Alligator mississippiensis: one gene and its partner. The protein of the gene in region 2 binds, or shares a complex with, the protein of the main gene of each other region. Links are inferred from orthologs where the notes say so. Each region holds a gene or a part of one and is shown on either strand. Other genes may lie near its edges. The genes, in order: AP3M1 and AP3B1.

Region 1 (8,903 bases), on a different chromosome or scaffold from region 2:
ATGTGTTGAAATATTTACAGGCTTGGAGAACCCAGAAGGGAAGTGGTGCACAAGAATAAGGTGTAGAAGTCAAGGGCAAGAAGAAGAGCAAGGTGAAATTAAAAAAGCCAGAAAAAAGAAGACAAAACAAAAGTGAATTGCTAACCTGCAGATGTGGTTTACTGGAGTTTATTTAATATACTTGGAATCTTCATTCATTTGAAATAAGTTGAAAAAATAAATTACATTTTAAAATGCATGTAATACTAAGAATCCCCCACCACCCACCCTCTAAATACATTAATATTATTACACAGTTACCAATACAACTGTGGATTTTCTTATCTGTACCAAATCAATCAAGGTCTAATTTCAACCATGGGGATGAACATTGATTCTTTCTACAAAAAAAATTGAGGAAAGAATGCGTCAGTGTGTGCTTGATAACTGAATCTAAAGAGGAACAGTTGCTTAACTGGAGAAAACAATATTGCACTTCGTACTTTTAATGATAAGCATCTCCTGCCAAATGTAATGCTTTCGCATTCTCCATGTGGACAAATCAATTTGCTCAGAAAACAAATCATGAACAGACATCATGATCATCCAATCAATTCAGGAGCTGTTGAGCCACCAGAGGAGCATAATAATGTAACAGAGATTACTATAAAACAGAAAAAGGTTGGAATTTACACCTAAAATTTAAGCCAATATTATAACAAGGTTGGAGGAGGATTAAATTTCCTGCCACTCCACCACCAGCAGAGCTCAATTATGCTGTAACAAGGTTACCTGGTACATTGTATCCATTGTGTGGGTAAAATCTTACAAAATCATCTTTGGAGAGTTTATCAGTTGTTACAGGCATATAGGAATAGCTTCTTTAAAAAAAAAAAAAAGAAAGAAAAAAAAAGAAGAACTTTATTAATGAAGCATGGGGTTACAAGCAGATAAATGTACCTGCTTCCATGTTTATTTCTCTCTAAATATGTATATACTGCTTAAGCTGAATGAAATGCAGTTTGGTTTGGGCTATGTAAGCTTGAGGTTGATTTTCCAGCCTTTCCTTGTTTTAACAGCATATTTAAAGAGTGTTGACATTAACTGTAGCTTTTCTAACACAAGTTTATATTTTTACTTATAATTTGTTTTTTGTTGGGTTGGTTTTTTGGGGGTTTTTGCTGTACAGCTATATTTTTCCTCTTCTATTATCTGCAACTGTCCTTGCAACTATTATTAGACTTGAAAAAGTCACTCAGCTGCCAAGAAACAAGTTACTGATATATGCTGCCTTCTGTTTTTACACTAATGTCACAAATTGCTTCCATAGGAATAGCTAATTCAGCAGAGCCAAGACTATGTAAAGCCACTATTCTCATGATACTGTTTGAGCTCCTGTGCCTGACACTAAATTTTTCAATCAATTAATAATTACCACTGGATCCGGCCATTTCAATTTCAAGTCATTTTAATTGATTTAATTGATGACAGTTGTATCTACCCAATATTTATTGCCAAATCTAATACAAAAGTCCTGAAAATACATCTAGGCAATTCATGCTCTTGTTTTGCATATGCTTTGGGCTACCTCTTATTTAAGTTAAATAACAAAAAAAACCCAAGTTCCAGTTTTAGTGTAGTGCTAATCAGGAGACTCCTCAATGCAGTAGTGTTCCTTTTATAGCAATGAATTATGAATGATTAATTATTAATGTTAGCAACACTCTAAAATATGTAAAGTGCTCTAAAACAAACTTCCTTGGGTGAATTTGATATCTTTTATTAGACCAACCCAAATGGTTGGAGAATAGTTATTAAGCAAGCTTTCGGGTTCAAAAACCCTTCGTCAGGCTAAGGACGCTGCAGCAGATGCAACAACAAACTTTGCATGCGTTAATTAATTATCTAATTAATTAATTAGATTAACTTACTCTAGCATCCTGGCTAAATGAGAAAAGATAAGAAGTGTCTACTAGTTATTTCATTTGTTTTTACTTCATATTTTTAAACACCCAGAGAAAACAAATATTATTTAATGATCAAAATATCTAATACAAACAAATTAGAATAAGAATTCAAAGGTAGATTTGCTCTTAACACTACAAGCCAGATATGCAGGGCAGAATCGCAGTCAGAAACTTAAATATCTTAAGTAAATCTTGGAAATCATCAGCCCCACCTTGCCCTACAACTGTTAGCAGCCTCCATCCCCTGCTCCTGTCTCAAACATGCTTTCTACCATCCTGTTTCTTATGCATGAGGATAACTCTCTATCATAATTTGCAGGCAAGGTTCTTTGAGTAGATGTGATATCTTTTATTAGACCAATTAAGCAGTTGGACAAAAGTTCTCAGCAAGCTTTTGGGTTCAATCACCCTTCTTACAACCAAAAAAAAAAAAAACAGCTATCATCATTTGCAAACTTGTCACATTATCTGTTTTAAATCTTTCTTGAATACTTCTCTTTTTCTGCCATGCCTACAAAATCACTCCCATCTGGCATTGGTTAAGGAAATGTCCAGATGAGACTTCTATTCTGATAATGTTATCAGCTTCATTCCTGCATTATTCACCCATCTCCAACGTGTTTACTTGCTCTGTCCATTTTTCATCCTATCTAACACAGGGAAGTTTGCTAGTGGCTTCAGCCAGGCCATAATTTCACTCCTAGAGTGAATAAAGACCATTTTCCTAGTTACTTATCTGCACAGTAATCTGTACAATAATGGATTTCAGTCTTGACTTGGGTTTCTGGAGGCTACTATAATAAAATAATAACACAAAAGGGGTATGGATATCAGCTACATGCATATATATAAGAATCACAGAATCATAGGAAATTGGGGTTGGAAGGGAGGTCCTCAGGAGGTCATCTAGTCCAAACCCCTGCTCACAGCAGGTCCATCAACAACTACCTCATCCCAGCCAAGGTTTTGTCTGGCTAGGTCTTAAAAACCTCTAAGAATGGAGATTCCACAACCTCTCTGGGTAGCCTGTTCCAGTGCTTTACTACCCTCCTAAACTTCCCTTGCTGCAAGTTGAAACCACTGCACCTTGTTCTGTCATCTGCCAGCACTGAGAACAGTCCATCTCCACCCTCTTTGGAACCACCATTCAGGTAGTTGAAGGCTGCTATTTTATCCCCTCTCAGTCTCCTCTTCTCTTGATTAAATAAGCCCAATTCCCTCAGCCTCTCCTTGTAAGTCATGTGTCCCAGCCCCCTAACTATTTTTGTTACCCTCCACTGGACTTTATCCACAAATTATTTCCAATTTATTCACATCTTTTCTGTAGTGGGGTCTCAAAACTGGACACAATACTCCAGATGTGACCTCACCAATGCTGAATAGAGGAAAATACATCTATACATATATATATCTGTCTACAGCAGGGGCAGGCAACTATTTCAGGCAGAGGGCCGCTTACTGAATTTTGGCAAGCCATTGAGGGCTGCATGACAGGCAGCCAGGGGCAGATAAATACTAATTTTCTAAATTTTTTAGGGGCCCCATGGGCCAGATAGAATGGCCTGGCAGGCTGTATCCAGCCTGCAGGCCGCATTTTGCCCACCCCTAGTCTACGGGGTTCAAATTAAATTTCAACTCTGGGGAGGGGGTGGGGGAGGGCGGAGGGGAGAATCTGAAAAAATAACAGAAATTAAACCAGTTCATTGATTAACAAGTCCATCTAAGTGAAGGAGCAATCTGATCAAGTTATGATCTTCGAATCTTACAGGGGAGCTCTTGTCTCTTATGGGTGGGCTCAGCCCTGCCCCAAACTCCCCCTTAATTTGCACCCTGTCTATCAATATCTATCTATTATTATCTATATCTATCTATTACATTAAAGAAACAGATTCCCACAATGCAATTTGCCCTAAAACATATTCATAATAAGGTAGTGTAAGAGTGATGATGTAGCTATGATGGTTCAGCAATTATGTGAGAGAGAAGGATTTCTTAGGGTGATATTTTTTATTGAACAAACTGTGTGGTAGGATCAGAGGTTTCCCAGGCTAGAACCTTGTCTGGTTTTGCATTTTTCCTATCTGACAGAAGGAGTCTGGCTAATGGCTTCACCTAGGTCATGTCTAGCATGGGAAAGCTTGTCTGACTCTACTGGATAGTTGGTCCAATAAAAAAATACCTCCCTAAGAAGTCATTGCCTCTCAGATAAGAAGTTCATAGTTACATCTAGGGCCTCTCAATCCAGGTTCCCTAGAAGCACTGTGCAAACAGTGAGTCGAAGGGCTCCCCGAAGGCTTGGGGAAGGCAGCATCGTTTGAAACCCAGTTGTAGCGTGAACGGAGATGCCCAGCTCTGGGCTTGTGCCAGCCATGCTGGGCACCCCAGAAGTGACGCTCTCCTAGCTGGCAGCAGCAGCTGCGCACAGATCCGTTGTGCAGGCTAGTGCTTGTCTTCTCCTCTGCAGCCCTTGAGGGAAAAGCTGTTTTTTGGGGGGCCTGGGTGCTCTTTGATCTGCTCTTTTGGCCCCGTCTTTTCTCTGCCCCCCACTTTGATGGACCTGAGCAGATGCACGGGCTTAGGTCTGTGGGCACTTGAGCCTCAGCAGGCATCACTGAGGAACGCGAATCATCCACACCCACGTGCAGCCAGGCTACGCGTGGCAGAGGCAGCGCCCGAGATCCGCTGCCGCCGCAACCGCGTGGGCTCGGAGCCCCTGCAAGCAGCGACCGCCCGCCCGCCCGCCGGCAGCGAGCCGCTCGCGTTTGCCCAGGGCACGTGCGCCCGCCCCCGCGTTACCTCAGCCGCTCGTGCTCCCGCTTCGGCTTCTTGGCTCGCGGCTCGCCTGCTGCCATCTCCGCACCCGCGTGCGGCAGCCCCGGCTCGGCGCGATCTCCCCTCAGGCAGCAGCGGGGCAGAGTCGGCTACGCAAAGCGCCTGATCCGGGCCGGGCCGGGGGCGGGACGCTGCCGCACACGTGCGAGAGGCCTCCCACCGCCCCGCGGGCAGCACGGCTCCAGGGGCCGCCTAAGGCCGAGCACCCCGCGCCCTCACGCAGTCCGCGGAAGCCGGCGGCAGGGCACGCGTTTGCTGCAGGCAGTCACATAGTCACCTGCGCCGGCCGGGGAGGAGGTGCGGGGTGGGGGCCTCGGAGCCATATTTGCCAGCGCTGCGGGGGGAGCGGGAGCGGAGCCGGGTCGGGCCGGGCAGGGCTAGTGCGGGCTCCGGCGCAGGTGAACGGGGTCGCGCGGGGAGAGCCGGGGCCTGGAAAAGGAAGGGTGTTTTTTTTTCTGGTAGGTGTTGAAAGCTGATGCTTCTGGAAATGACCTCCCTTTGTCCTGCCCGTGTTGCTCTGAGCCTGGAAGTCCCGGCCTGGCTCGTCACAATTTATTACTTCATTAGTTAATGTTCTTGGAGGCTATAAAACGCTCAGGGTGGCTGTGCTTTACTGCAGGGTTTTGGCCGTCTCCGGACAGAGGAGCGTGTGCTCGGGATAACCATCTGGGAAGTAGCAGGGAAAATTAACAAGGGCATTTTATGTTTTCTGTTTATAGACGTCTGCCGCATTATGCGCTTTCGTTTTGGCTGGGAAACCTTCCCTTTGTCCCTTTTGACTTAAAAATGTTTCCAGCTGGCAGCCTAGACTTGGTTTCATGAAGGAATTTGACATTGAAAAAAATATTGCATCTTAGTAATGATGTGGTTGAGAGTTAAGGGGTGTATCTAGCTGGTTTTCTTGGTCATGGTGTGAAAACACTACTTATTTATTAACTGGGTTGGTCCGGGTTTGTTTCTTAATGGAGTCTTTTACTGCCGTTGGCTTAAAGTTAAATACGGAAAGCCTCTTGTGCTGTAGGAGAAAACAAGAGACTGCTGTGTTAATGCTTCCTGTCTCTTGCAGTTTTACAGTTGTGTGAACCCCTATCCACATCAGATTTATTTGAGATGTTTAATGGTAAAGCCTCAGCATTATGACTAAGTTCAAATGTGCAATGTTTAACTTTAAAAATATTAAAGCAAGAGACTCTACATATAAAAAAAAAATAGCCTTAACTTTCTGATTATGTGTAAGTAGAACATTTTAAGTATGGAAATTGAGGCTCTGATGTTGAATTCAGACATAAGAGAATGCCTGAATTGTTGGGGATCGTAGTGCATTTCAGTGTGAACTGAGACTTAAAGGTTTTTAGGTGTCTAGAGCCTTTTGCAATTGATAGGAGTAAGATGCTTACAAAAATTTTGAGACTTTAGGCCTGGATGTCTGAAAGTTCATTTGAAGAGTATTCTTCAATTGGTGGATCTGCTGTAGTTGTCTAAACCAGGGGTGGGCAATTATTTCGGGCGGAGGACTGCTTACTGAGTTTTAGCAAGCCATCAAGGGCCGCATGACAGGCAGCCACGGCAGATAAATATTAATTTTCTAAATTTTTTAGGGGCCTCGCAGGCCAGATGGATGCGACCTGCCAGGCCATTCTAGTCCATGTTTTGCCCACCCCTGGTCTAAACCGTGTGAAATGGGAAAACCAGACTTCTATGCAAAAACTTAAACTACAATTTTGGTAATAGCAAGTTGTTTCATAGTAATTCAGGTAAGAACTTCCTTATCTTTTATTAAGTATTTTTTTTTTTATCATCCCCATATGGATTTCACAGGAGCAAGATGGCCCATGGTATCTAGATGGCAAGGAAAGGCCTTTTTTTTCCTAATTTGCAAACACTTAAGGTGCCAGCTTTTCTAGAGACCACTAAATGCATACCCCTTGCCTTTTAAGTCTAAGTTTCATGTAGCCTGTGATGTGGGAACATAAAGTAAACTAAATCTGTTGCCTGCTATGTCTTTAGAATTCTTGGCTTTGTGTTTTGGCATGTTAACAAACCAAGGAACCATATCTCCCTTGTTAACACTCGGGTTGTTTCTCTGAAGGCTTGTCTGTTAGGAACAGGGAGAAGCAACATCAAGGAGAACCCAACTTTGAGCTACCCAGCAGCAGCGCAGTTCCCTACTGGCTGGAAGCTATACCCTCAGTGCAGCCAGGAAACAAGGGGCTAGGGAGGAGTGACAGCAGCAGCATGAATGCAGTTCCCAGCTGGAAGCTGTGCTTGTGCCCTAACCAGGGAGTCAGGGGTTAGGAAGAGTGGTGTTAGTGTCGGCTCCCAGCTGCCTGACCCAGTCATAGGCACAGGCAAATCCCCCTTGCTGCTGATGTGCCACCAAAGCCACCCAGTGCATGCTGGACTTGAGATGAGTTGTTCTGGCCTGTGGCTTTAAAAAGTTCCTAGCCCCTGGTTTATGGGGTACAGTGCTCCTCTGGGCAAAGGGATTCTAGGTTCCAGTCCCTATTCCCAAGGTTATTGGCTTGTTGTTATTATTATTTAACAATGATATTTGCATGGGAACTGCAGGAAGAGTCCTGGGTGCTGGGATCAACCCAGGTTTTCCTTCCATTAGTGAAGCGGTGTAACCACTAGTGTACAGTGCCAGTCTCTCTCTTGTTCTCTTTCTGGCCTCATATCTCCTGTGATGGATGCCCAGTGGAGAGGAGGAGGAAGAGAATGTTTTACCCAGCTTATCCTTTAGTGTGGCAGAATATTCTCCTAAGAAGGGGATTTGAATCCCCCAGGGGACCTAAAATTCAGGGTTCCTGATTGCGGTGCAAGTACTGTGATATGTTGCGTTTAAAAAAAATGTTGGCTGTTGTAGCCCAATGTTTTTGAGCTAAGTATGAGTTAAGCATGCTCTGAGCACATATAATGCATCTTTGGGGATGAGTTCATCCTTGCATACCCCATAATGCTAAATGCCTCACATTTGGCTATGCTCAGAAGGTAAGTGCAGAACCTTGTAATTTTGCAGTCCAAAATGGAAGCATGGTTTGAACTTGGACATCTTCTGAGGTTTTGGAGCTTGTAGAGCAGGGCCAAACTTAATTACTGTTTGAAACTTGGCCAGTTAAATTATACCAAAATCTTGTTTAGACTCCTGCAGGACCATACTGGATCTTGACTCACCTGGCAGGTTTGAAGCAGAGCCAGGAGTGGAACCCACATCTCCTGAATTTCTACCTAGTGCCTTAGCTACAAAACCATCTCTCTCTGTTGTGCTTTCACGTGCAGCTTTGTTTATCTCAGCAGGCACCTGCATTGTTGCAAGTTGCTGGCATGCAATATAGCATCTTGCACATTGCCTGTGTATACTGCTCTCTGCCTTCTTTTATAACCATAGTTGTAACTTTTCAGTACATTCTAGGTAATGATTAGTAACAGTGTAAAGTGGCATCATACCTTTAATAGTAATATATCTGTTTAAGGGTTTACAGTCATTGGGCATCTAATTAAACACTGTCTGTAATAATGTAATAGATGTTATTTACCTTTGATAGTATGCCTGTTCCTGTGTCCTCTTATCAGCTCTGAAAGGAGTTGGAGATTGTAATGTTTTTCCATATTGTTACATGAAAGAGTTTAAGCAAACAACAGTAATACAAATACAGTACAACTGATTAATCCAAACTGATTAATCAAAGAGCTGTCCAGTGCACTAAGGAAATAAATTGTTTATAGGGGAAATAATTTGTCTATCAGTTGTAATTCAGAGGTATTAATTGTAGAAAACAGCTTTAAAAAAGTGGATGTTAATAACTTGGGGTGAATGGTGTCCCTTTCTTATTACTGAGTCATTTATGTATGTGGACAGGAAAATTGGACTCTTCAAGTTCAGCAAGGCATTTGCATGACTAAATGTCCCTTTGTAAGATTCAGAACGCGTTGTACTAAGTCAAAAACAGAATAGCTTAAGGGCTAAAAATCAATTTAAGAGGTAGGCTCTCTCTCCCTTCTCCCCCAGTGGTTTAGAGGAGATGGTGGCCTGCATTCAAACATAATGAAATGGTGATCTCAAAACTATTGAAAGTACAGATCTAAAAGATGGAGTAAAATACTGGAAAGGAAAAGCTGGCTTTC
Region 2 (8,758 bases):
TGCCACCAATGAGAACAGTCTAGCTTCATCCTTTTCACTCTTCAGGTAGTTGAAAGCTGCTATTAGGTTCATCTGTCATGGGGCTGTCTCCTCTATTTAGTAAAAGACCCACACTTGATCTTCCTCAACAACAAAAGGTCCAGCTGTTGTGATAACGTTAGTGCTAGATGTCATGGTTGATACCCATTAGGACCTAGACCCATCATCAGCTCACTTTAAAAACCAGCAATTCAATGAAATGCCAGCTTTCAACAAGGGCCATTGTTCATTAAGCCATTATCTGTTATCTCCACCCTCCACTTACTTTGAAATTCTCGAGTATTACCTTGTATGCAAAGCCAAAGTACCCCAATAGCTGAAGAATTTTTCAGTCATGCATGTAGCAACCTACAGCTGCTGTCTACATCATTTCCCTTTGGTTTCCACAACTGTGGAAAACCACAGTTTTTCACCTTTGGTCTCCATCAGAAGCTTGACCCTGCTCAACTGAAGAGTCATAGCTCATAATACAGCTAAGGTACTTTATCACAATGAAAGACCCCTTCACAGCCCTTATTTTTAAGCATTTAAAGCAATCCAAAAATGTAAGTCCCAGGGGACTCGTAGAAATCAATAGGATCTACAATAAAAGTTGTAGAACTGGGCTGCAGACAACAAAATAAAATAATTCAAGGACAAAAAAAATAAGGTGTAACCTGAGGAGAGAGGATGTTTACAGACAGAATAAGGGATAGGTGGCCAGAAAGTAACACTGCTTACCCTACCGTTAGACAGTAACACTGCCAAATGAGTCCTTAAGGGCCATGATGGATCAAACTCAACACACGTTAGCAATGTAATGCCATTGCAAAAAACAAAACAACCCCCCCAGAAAGAACAGGAAACAAACAGATGCATTCTTAGGCTGTATTAACCTAAGTATTGCATTTAAGACATGGAAGGTAATGATATCACTCAACTCAGCACGGGTTAGGACTCAGCAATTTTAGTGCTTCCAGTTCTAAGCACTTCTTTTTAAGAATGATGCAGGAAAACAGACACTGAGAGAAGCAAGATTTAGATAAAACTGCAGGGGGAAATAAAAGTCATACATGTGAAGACCATAAGATAAAAGGAACAAGGAATTTCCTCATTTGGGTGATGAAAAGAGATGGATAGGCATGTTTCACAAAAGAGATGGATAGGCATGTTTGGGATGGTTTAAGAACAGCATATCCTACATTTGTGCAGGGGGTTGAAATCCTTGAGTTCCCTCCCTATCCTACAACTCAGTTCTAAACTTACTAACTACAAGAGTTTTTATCTACTCACAGGGACAGGGTGCTGCCAGAGCAGGATTTTTTTTAGAATAGATTTTCATATTAAGTAAAGGACAAGTGCAAGGTTCTGTTCTTAGCCTGGAAGAATCACACGTACAAACAAACTGGGAAATGACTGGCTATACTGCTGTCCTGCCCAAAGACCCAGAGGATATAGTAGACCATAAGCAGTAGCCAGCCAACTGTGTGCTCTTTTTGCCAATATAAGCCTATAATAGCATACTGAGCTGTATTAACAGAGGTGTCACTTGCAAGTCAAAGGAAACAATTCTGTACTGGCAGAGCCTCACCTCAAGTACTGCATCCAGTTTTGGCACCACACTTCAAGACAGACATGGGCAAATCTGAGTCCATAATAATTTCAATTGCTCTTTAGGGGTCTAGGAAACATCACAGAAAAGGACTTAAAATTTCTCAAAGCCAAAAAGTGCTACAATTATAAACCAGCCAAAGACAAAAAAATTAACTGTAAGAACAGTTACTCCCCCCCTCCCAAAAAAAACAAAAGCAAGCAGAGAGCCTACCAGGTATGGAAAACAGAACTAATCAAGCAAGAAGAGACGTACTTTAGGCTTTTGAGATCAAGAAGCACTGGGATAAAAGTAAGTTACCAAAATACAAGCCAAGAAATTTTGCAATGGTAATTAAAACAAATGGCAAAAGGTTCTTCAGCCATATACATAAAAAAAGAAAACAAGGCAAGATTAAGTAGAGCTACTATGCAGTGAAAACAGGAAAGAGAGGAGAAGGACAATCTCGGTATGGCCCAAAAGCCATACCTAAAACCACACCAAAACACATAGGTTATAAAAATGGGTCAAAGCACATATGCATACTTGCTTGGCTACAATTTGCCATAAAGACACTGATATGGACGAAAAAGGTGGCATGGCTATTGACATTGTGAATAATAATCCAAGTTACCACATCTGAAGAAGCAGCAAAGATTAAAAAGCTTTAATCTATTCACATTGAGGAGGACAAAAAAAATTGAAAGACTGGCACACTAAACTGCAGGTCCTGTAGCAAATAAACAGAAGTGTCAAAGAAGTCAAGGAGAGCTTTTTTACTCTGAAAACAGCACGTGAGATAACTATGCAAAAGGAAGAAAGGAAAAGGTATCCAAGTAGCTACAGACATACCTGTCTTAGTTCAAGCAGTATGCAAAGATTCAAAACAAGTTTTAAAGGAAATAATTAAAGATATGGGAAATAAAACATGAAACTTCCCTTTGTCAATATGATAGCTGATTTTGTTTAGACAAAGAAGTTGCGGTTCTAATGCATCTTGACTTCAGTAAAGCATTTGAAATAGTACAACAGGAGAATTATTAGTGAATGGAGATGGGGAGTTAGAACAACTCTAAGGTGGGTAAGGATTGGCTGAAGGGGAAACAACCGGTTACACTGAAAGGGTAAGCATCAATGCTGAAGAGAAGTTGCTAGAGTAGCTCCTCTCAAGACAGGTCTTGGAAGAGACCTCACTTACAAGTTTAGTTAGCTTGGCACACAAAATAGGAGTATGCTAATAGTATTTGCTGATGACACCGAAGTTGTAAGCATCAGAGGATTGGAACATCATACATCAACTGAATCACCTGGAGAACTGAAGCAATTGAAACTGGATGAAACTACATAGAACACAAGTGCAAGGCCATGCACTTCATGATTAATAACAAGTGTTTCTACTATGAATTGGGAGCTTATCAGCTGGAAACAACAAGAGAACCAAGACCTGGGTGAAAAGGATGACTATAAGCCAAAAACATTTAGTAGCTGTTGAAAGGGCACATATGACCCTAGAAAACAGCAGTCAAGATACTGGCAATATAGAAAGAATGGGAAGAAAGAGAAAGAATGGGACAAAGATGCTTAATAGGAAAAAGTGTCATGTGTCATAATACTGTTTATCCACAGTAAATATTTTAATATTTAAATAACTAGGAGATTAGAAGATGTAAACCACAACAGTTTACAAAGTCATAAACAATAAAATACATCAGCTTTACTACTGTAAACTTTTTTTTTTCACACCATTCTTCAGAAGTCTTAAAAAACTACAGCATGATTAAATTATTTGAAAACACCATTTCTGCATTAATTGTTGAAATTACAAGAAAGCTATTTCAAGTTTACATTGCTCACATGTCAACCAATAAAAACTGCAGTCTATTTACATGGGAAGCAAGAAGAAAAGATGGGCAAGCATCTCAGGATCAAGGATACTTACACAGTGAGATTTAGTTCCATGAGTACACATGGATCATCAGAACTATTGGTAAGCCCTTTCTCTTCTATAGTAGGCTCCAGCTTCAGTGCAACCTGGAGGCTTCCTGCTTTTTCAAGAACAGATTTAATACATCCAGAAGCCTCATTAATTTTACTGAGCAGTGAAGAATCTTGCTCCATTCTTTCAAATGTAAAGAAAGTAGTCAGCGAATCAGCTAACCCAAGTTACTTAATGCCAACTGAGACTGAACAGGAATTAAAAAGAAATTATTGTGAGGTAACAGGATATTCACTCCCTCCACTGTTAACTTGAAGGGAAAAAATGCTATACAGATTGCAAAGGTCATTTTCCTTGAAAAATACATCTTATCAGCTAAATACAATCACCAGTAGAACTTGCCAAATACTTGTTTCAGCCGTGTAGCCTTTACATTGTTTACTAAGCAGCACAGCAATATTTTCATAATCTCAGAAACAGGAAGATACAACAAAACATTTCATTTCCTTAATCAAAATCTTAAAACAGAAAGACAAGCTTCAAAATGCAGGGGGCGGGGGTGTTATGTTCATTAATGAAAAGAAAGGGTCTTTAGTTCATGGATTTCTACAAACAGTGTTCTTATCATATCAGTCCACCTGTCAGCAAAGGAAATTACAAATGAGTTGACAACTGAACACAATCTTTTCAGATTTGAAAGTAATTATAGTTTAGTATGTAGAAAACCAGAAAGACAAGTCTTCACGTAAGAAAACTATACTAAACTATTATCTAGAAACACAGTATGAATGTTTTACTCACTTTTTTTTTTTTACTTAAACAACATAAATATACCCTAGTGTAGGGGCAGGCAAAGTCTGGCCCGGGGTGGACTCCATTTCCCAGCAGCCCTGTCCCAGTTGCGCACCCTGCCAGCACTGCTGGGGCCAAATCTCCATGGAGACCCTGGCCCCATGCTGTCAGGACACCACCACTGCCAGGGTTTCCTTCATGGGAACTGGCTGCAGGGGCTGCTGGGAAATGGAGCCTGGCTGCCAGCTGGATCCACCATGTTGCATACCCCTGCTCTAGTGCAGGCTTATCCAACATGCTGCCTGCGGGCCGCCATGCAACCCAAGCCATTTTCTTTAGCCCGAGGTCCCTCACTTGGGACAGGGGAGGCGTCCTTGCGCCTGCTCCACGGAGGCGGCGGCGGTGGGGCAGAGGCGAGGCAGGCAGGGCCGGCCTGCAGGCCCCAGCTGGCAGCGAGGGGAGGGGAGCTGCTCACCCCCGCAGGGCTGGGCTCATCAGTGAGCCGGGTCCCATTGCCGCTGCCCCAGCCACGCGTGACTGGATGAGCTGGGGAGGGGACAGCACATGCAACTTCTTCTCTGGCTCCGCCCCTTGCCCCCGGTGCACGGCCAGGGGAGCTGCAGCATGGCCCGCGTCCTGCCTGCATATGTGGTGGATAGAGGCACAGGGTAAGTCCCCACGCGGAGCTGGGGGCGCCTCAGGGCCGGGCTGGGGCTGTGGGGTGCGCGGTTGCCAGAGCCGGGCTGGGCAGGAGGAGCCCAGCCCAGAGGCTGCACTTGTTCCTCAGACCAGGACACCCAGGATGAAGCGATACAAGGGAGGACACACACACATGTGCACATACACACATGCATGCATGCTGAAGTGTGGGGCAGTGAGCAGAGCCAGAACAGCTGTCAGGAGCACAGTGCCTCTCTCACCACAGCCAGGGCTGCAGACTGGGGCGCTGGCCAGACTGGGGACTCTGCATGGGTTCTGTCTGACTCACAGCTCTGGCCCTGCCCCTGTCCCCATCCTGACACCTGCAGCTGCATCCTGGCCATGAGTCCCTGACTGGGCAGCGGCAGCCAGCCCCAGCCTCATACTCTCCTCTCTGCTTAGGGCAGGATGCAGTCAGGCCAGACCAGGCTCTCCACATGGGGCTGCAATGTGGCTGACTTTGCCTTAGCCCAGCAGCACACAGCCAGGATGCAGTAGCAGGTGCCAGAATGGGGCCAGAGCTATGAGTCAGAGCAGGGCAGACAGAGAACATACAGCATCCCCAGCCTGGCCAGCACCCCAGTCCCCACCCCAGCCCACAGCCCTCCTTGCTCCAGTGACAAAAGTACCATGCTTCCCAGCACATCCCAATAGCTGCTTTGGCTGTCAGCTGCAACACATATGTGCTTGGAAGTGCGCGCGCGCACACACACACACCCCCCCCAGCTCCCAGATTCCCACCAATCTGGTACTTTTGCTTAAATTTTCTCCAGTGGCTAAGACACTATGACAGCCTATAAAATTTGGGACACTCTCAGCCAATCGAGGATATATGGTCACCCTACATATAAATAGTCTAGATTATTCTAAAAAATGCCCATATTTTATTGCTTTGATTAGTTTCCACTTTGGTTGATCTCTTTTCCAAATCTGATCTGTTGACTTGCAATATGCTTCTTTCATTCATTGAAAAAGTGACTAGAAGCAAAAGTATTTATTTTAGTCAAGTGTTTGGTATTATTTCATTCTTGCTTTTATACTGTTTTTATTTTGGATTTTAAACCACATTTCTAGACCCTCATTGTCACTTCCTGCAACTTCACTGGTGTCAAAGGTCACGTGACATCACTTCCTGATGTGATACCACATCCTGTGAGGTCTTTGAATATGGCTTGCCAGCCCACTGGGTGATAAAAAGTTTGTGATCCGGCCCCACATTCAAAAAGGTTGGACACCCCTGCTCTAGTGTCTGTGGCAACTTCTAATCGTGTGTGTAACCAGATAAATAAATAGTGTTTAAAACCTCTAATTACACACTCTGGTTTACCCAAGTGTCAGGCTTTTCCCTGCACCCCCACATATTTTCACTTTTCTACTATGTTTAAAAAAAAAAATTAAAAAAAAATCAAAGTACAGAGCTCTGCCTTATGGAAAACTATACTCTGCATGTTGATCCACAACATCCCATATTCCTTGCCACAGACTTTGCTAGCTTCTGAGGTTTATGGTAATCCAACTGTAAATCCATTTCAGTAAACCTAAATGCAATTCCTGGCAAGTCTGACTCTACACTTTCCCCTGGGCTTTCATCTATTTTTTGTGATCACTAGAAGCACCACAGCAAGGAGACCAGACTATTCTCAATCATAGTTAAGTTATTCTTCCATTTCAGTAACAAAAATAGGCTCAAAAGGCAATTTAACCTGCTAGTTGTTTGGATAAAAATTAAGCAAATAGCAATTATCTTAATATATTCATGGCTCTTATATATTGCTTTTAATCAGCAGAGCTCAAAGCATGTGTCCTAACAGGGGTTGATATTACCCTCCTTTGCCTCAGTTCTTCATCTACAAAAGACTAAAGGTTTTTGCCTAAAGTCACCCAGCAAGCCAGTGGCAGATTCAGGAATGGAACTCTGGTCTCCCAAATCCCAGCCCAGTGCTCCATCCTCTAGAACACACTGCCTCGTTATCTTAAGATTACTTTATTTTGACAAAAAATAAGTTTTCTGCAGTGGGTAGAGCATCACGGGGTGGGGGCAGGGGGGCGTGCTGCAGCCAGTTCGGCACTCTAGCCAGGAGCGGGCAGGCTGCAAACCCCCGGACCCCACTTCCATATGCCACTCCACCTGCCCTACCAGTCTGAGTTCAGCAGCTGTGCCTGCTGTGTGCTGGGCTCTGCCTCTGCTCCTGCCTTGTTGTGGCTGCTCCAACAGCGCGCCGTGCAGCACCAGAGTGCCACTGGGGGCAGGCCAGGCAGGAGGCGCATGGCATCACAAGCCATCAAAGCAGCAAGGCATGGAGGCAGGAGCAAAGGCAGAGCCTAGCCCACAGCTGCACTGCCCTGCCCTATGCACGAGCCGCCCAGGATGACCCAGGGCATCTGTTCCATTCAGCCTGAAATTACAGCTGAGGCTGGCCCCACACTGCTCCCCCCCCCCCGACAGTCTGGGGCCACAGCCAGGGCAGGTTTGGGCCCAAGGGGCCGCAGTTTCCTGGGACCATGACCCCAGGCGCAGGGGAAGGCACGGCCACATAGGTACAGCTGGCCCTGAGCCTGGGCCTGGCTCTGCTCCACTACCTCCTGATCCCTGCCCCCGCCCCCCACACCTTCCCCGACAGACTTTCGTGTGGGGGGGAGGGCATACGCATGCTCAGCACCACCCCCCCGCAAATCTTTTTCTCCCTCCAAATGAGTACACCCCTACACGTGCATGTGTGCATGCCCACGCCCCCACACATGTTCATGGCCAGGAGAGTGTATTTGCGTATGTGTGTGCATGTGCAGAGAGCGAGTTGAATGTGCGCCCGTCTCTGTATGTATGTGTCTGTGTTTATGGCAGGAAGAGTATGTTTGTGTCTGTATGTCCATGGGGGGGGTGGGGGTGGAAAGAGAGAGACCACAGCAGGGTAGGTAGCAGCAAGAAGAAGGGAACATGTGCCCTCCCTACCCCGGTAGGGTCCACCCAGGCTCCCCACCAGCACCAGAAGGGGAAGGGGCCCTGCCCTCTGCCCCCCTCCCCCACCATTGTCCAGGGCCCCAGTACACACTAATCCACCTCGGGGAGGGCAGGGGGCATGGATATGGACCTGGAGCCTGTCATTCTTGATGGGCAATTTGGTAGCTGTTCCATAAAATTAATTAGTAACAATGAATGGATGCCAATACAATATTAGGCAAACTTAGCAGTTTCAAAGTTATAATTAAGCAGTCATAATAATGCCCAAGTCAGAAAAAAAACTAGCATGTGGCATCATTAGAGTGAAGTTCAAGCCACTGAAGGAAGGAAGAAAGTTGGTAGAGGTAAATATTGTGGGCAGGAGTATGCTAACAATGCAACAAGAATGAAGAAACATTTAACAACATGTAGAAACTGCCTTGAAAGAGTACAAACCATATACAGAAAGCTAATACAAAGAAGGGGAGGAACAACATCATCTGAGAAAAATCTACTTCAGGAATCCTCTGCAAGTAAACAAATTAATATGTTAAACAACACACAGTTTAGACTAGCATCTATATTGTTGTAAAACATTATTATTTTAAAAGTTATCAACTCTGGACTATTATTTATTTATTTAAAATAGCTGTATCCTGCTTTTCTGCTTGCACTAAGCACCTGAAGTGGCTTAGGCTTAACAATATATTTTTTCAACTACATAATAGATAGTTAACTATTTCAACCTAGCACAGTAAGCTTAGTCCTCTGGCCAATGGCAGAG

What was found.
Region 1: the proteins of AP3B1 (region 2) and AP3M1 are in contact, whole or in part, in a cryo-EM structure (PDB 9C5A), measured with the Homo sapiens proteins. The link is inferred for Alligator mississippiensis from reciprocal best matches to the Homo sapiens genes AP3B1 and AP3M1. Residues at the interface, in NP_003655.3 of Homo sapiens: Leu60, Lys64, Val67, Gly68, Ile70, Ala71, Lys72, Gly73, Ile92, Glu93, Lys96, Leu97, Val100, Arg104, Glu107, Asn128, Gln129, Leu130, Arg137, Arg143, Ser163, Pro164, Tyr165, Lys168, Asn169, His172, Gln175, Lys176, Leu202, Ser206; in NP_001307192.1 of Homo sapiens: Met1, Phe15, Leu16, Glu17, Trp20, Lys21, Ser22, Val23, Gln26, Val42, Glu43, Asn44, Val45, Pro46, Pro47, Val48, Ser50, Tyr55, Ser58, Ile59, Tyr60, Gln71, Thr72, Glu73, Val74, Pro75, Pro76, Leu77, Phe78, Ile80.

The regions. Positions count from the first base shown.
Region 1 is NC_081829.1:26,754,332-26,763,234, reverse strand, and holds the start of AP3M1 (AP-3 complex subunit mu-1), read left to right. Parts: upstream 1-5,121; 5' UTR 5,122-5,236; intron 5,237-6,376; 5' UTR 6,377-6,532; intron 6,533-8,903. Other genes in the region: ADK (adenosine kinase), read right to left, coding at 4,743-4,798. UniProt on the Homo sapiens protein: Part of the AP-3 complex, an adaptor-related complex which is not clathrin-associated. The complex is associated with the Golgi region as well as more peripheral structures.
Region 2 is NC_081826.1:256,611,128-256,619,885, forward strand, and holds the start of AP3B1 (AP-3 complex subunit beta-1), read right to left. Parts: upstream 3,777-8,758; 5' UTR 3,728-3,776; coding exon 3,549-3,727; intron 1-3,548. UniProt on the Homo sapiens protein: Subunit of non-clathrin- and clathrin-associated adaptor protein complex 3 (AP-3) that plays a role in protein sorting in the late-Golgi/trans-Golgi network (TGN) and/or endosomes.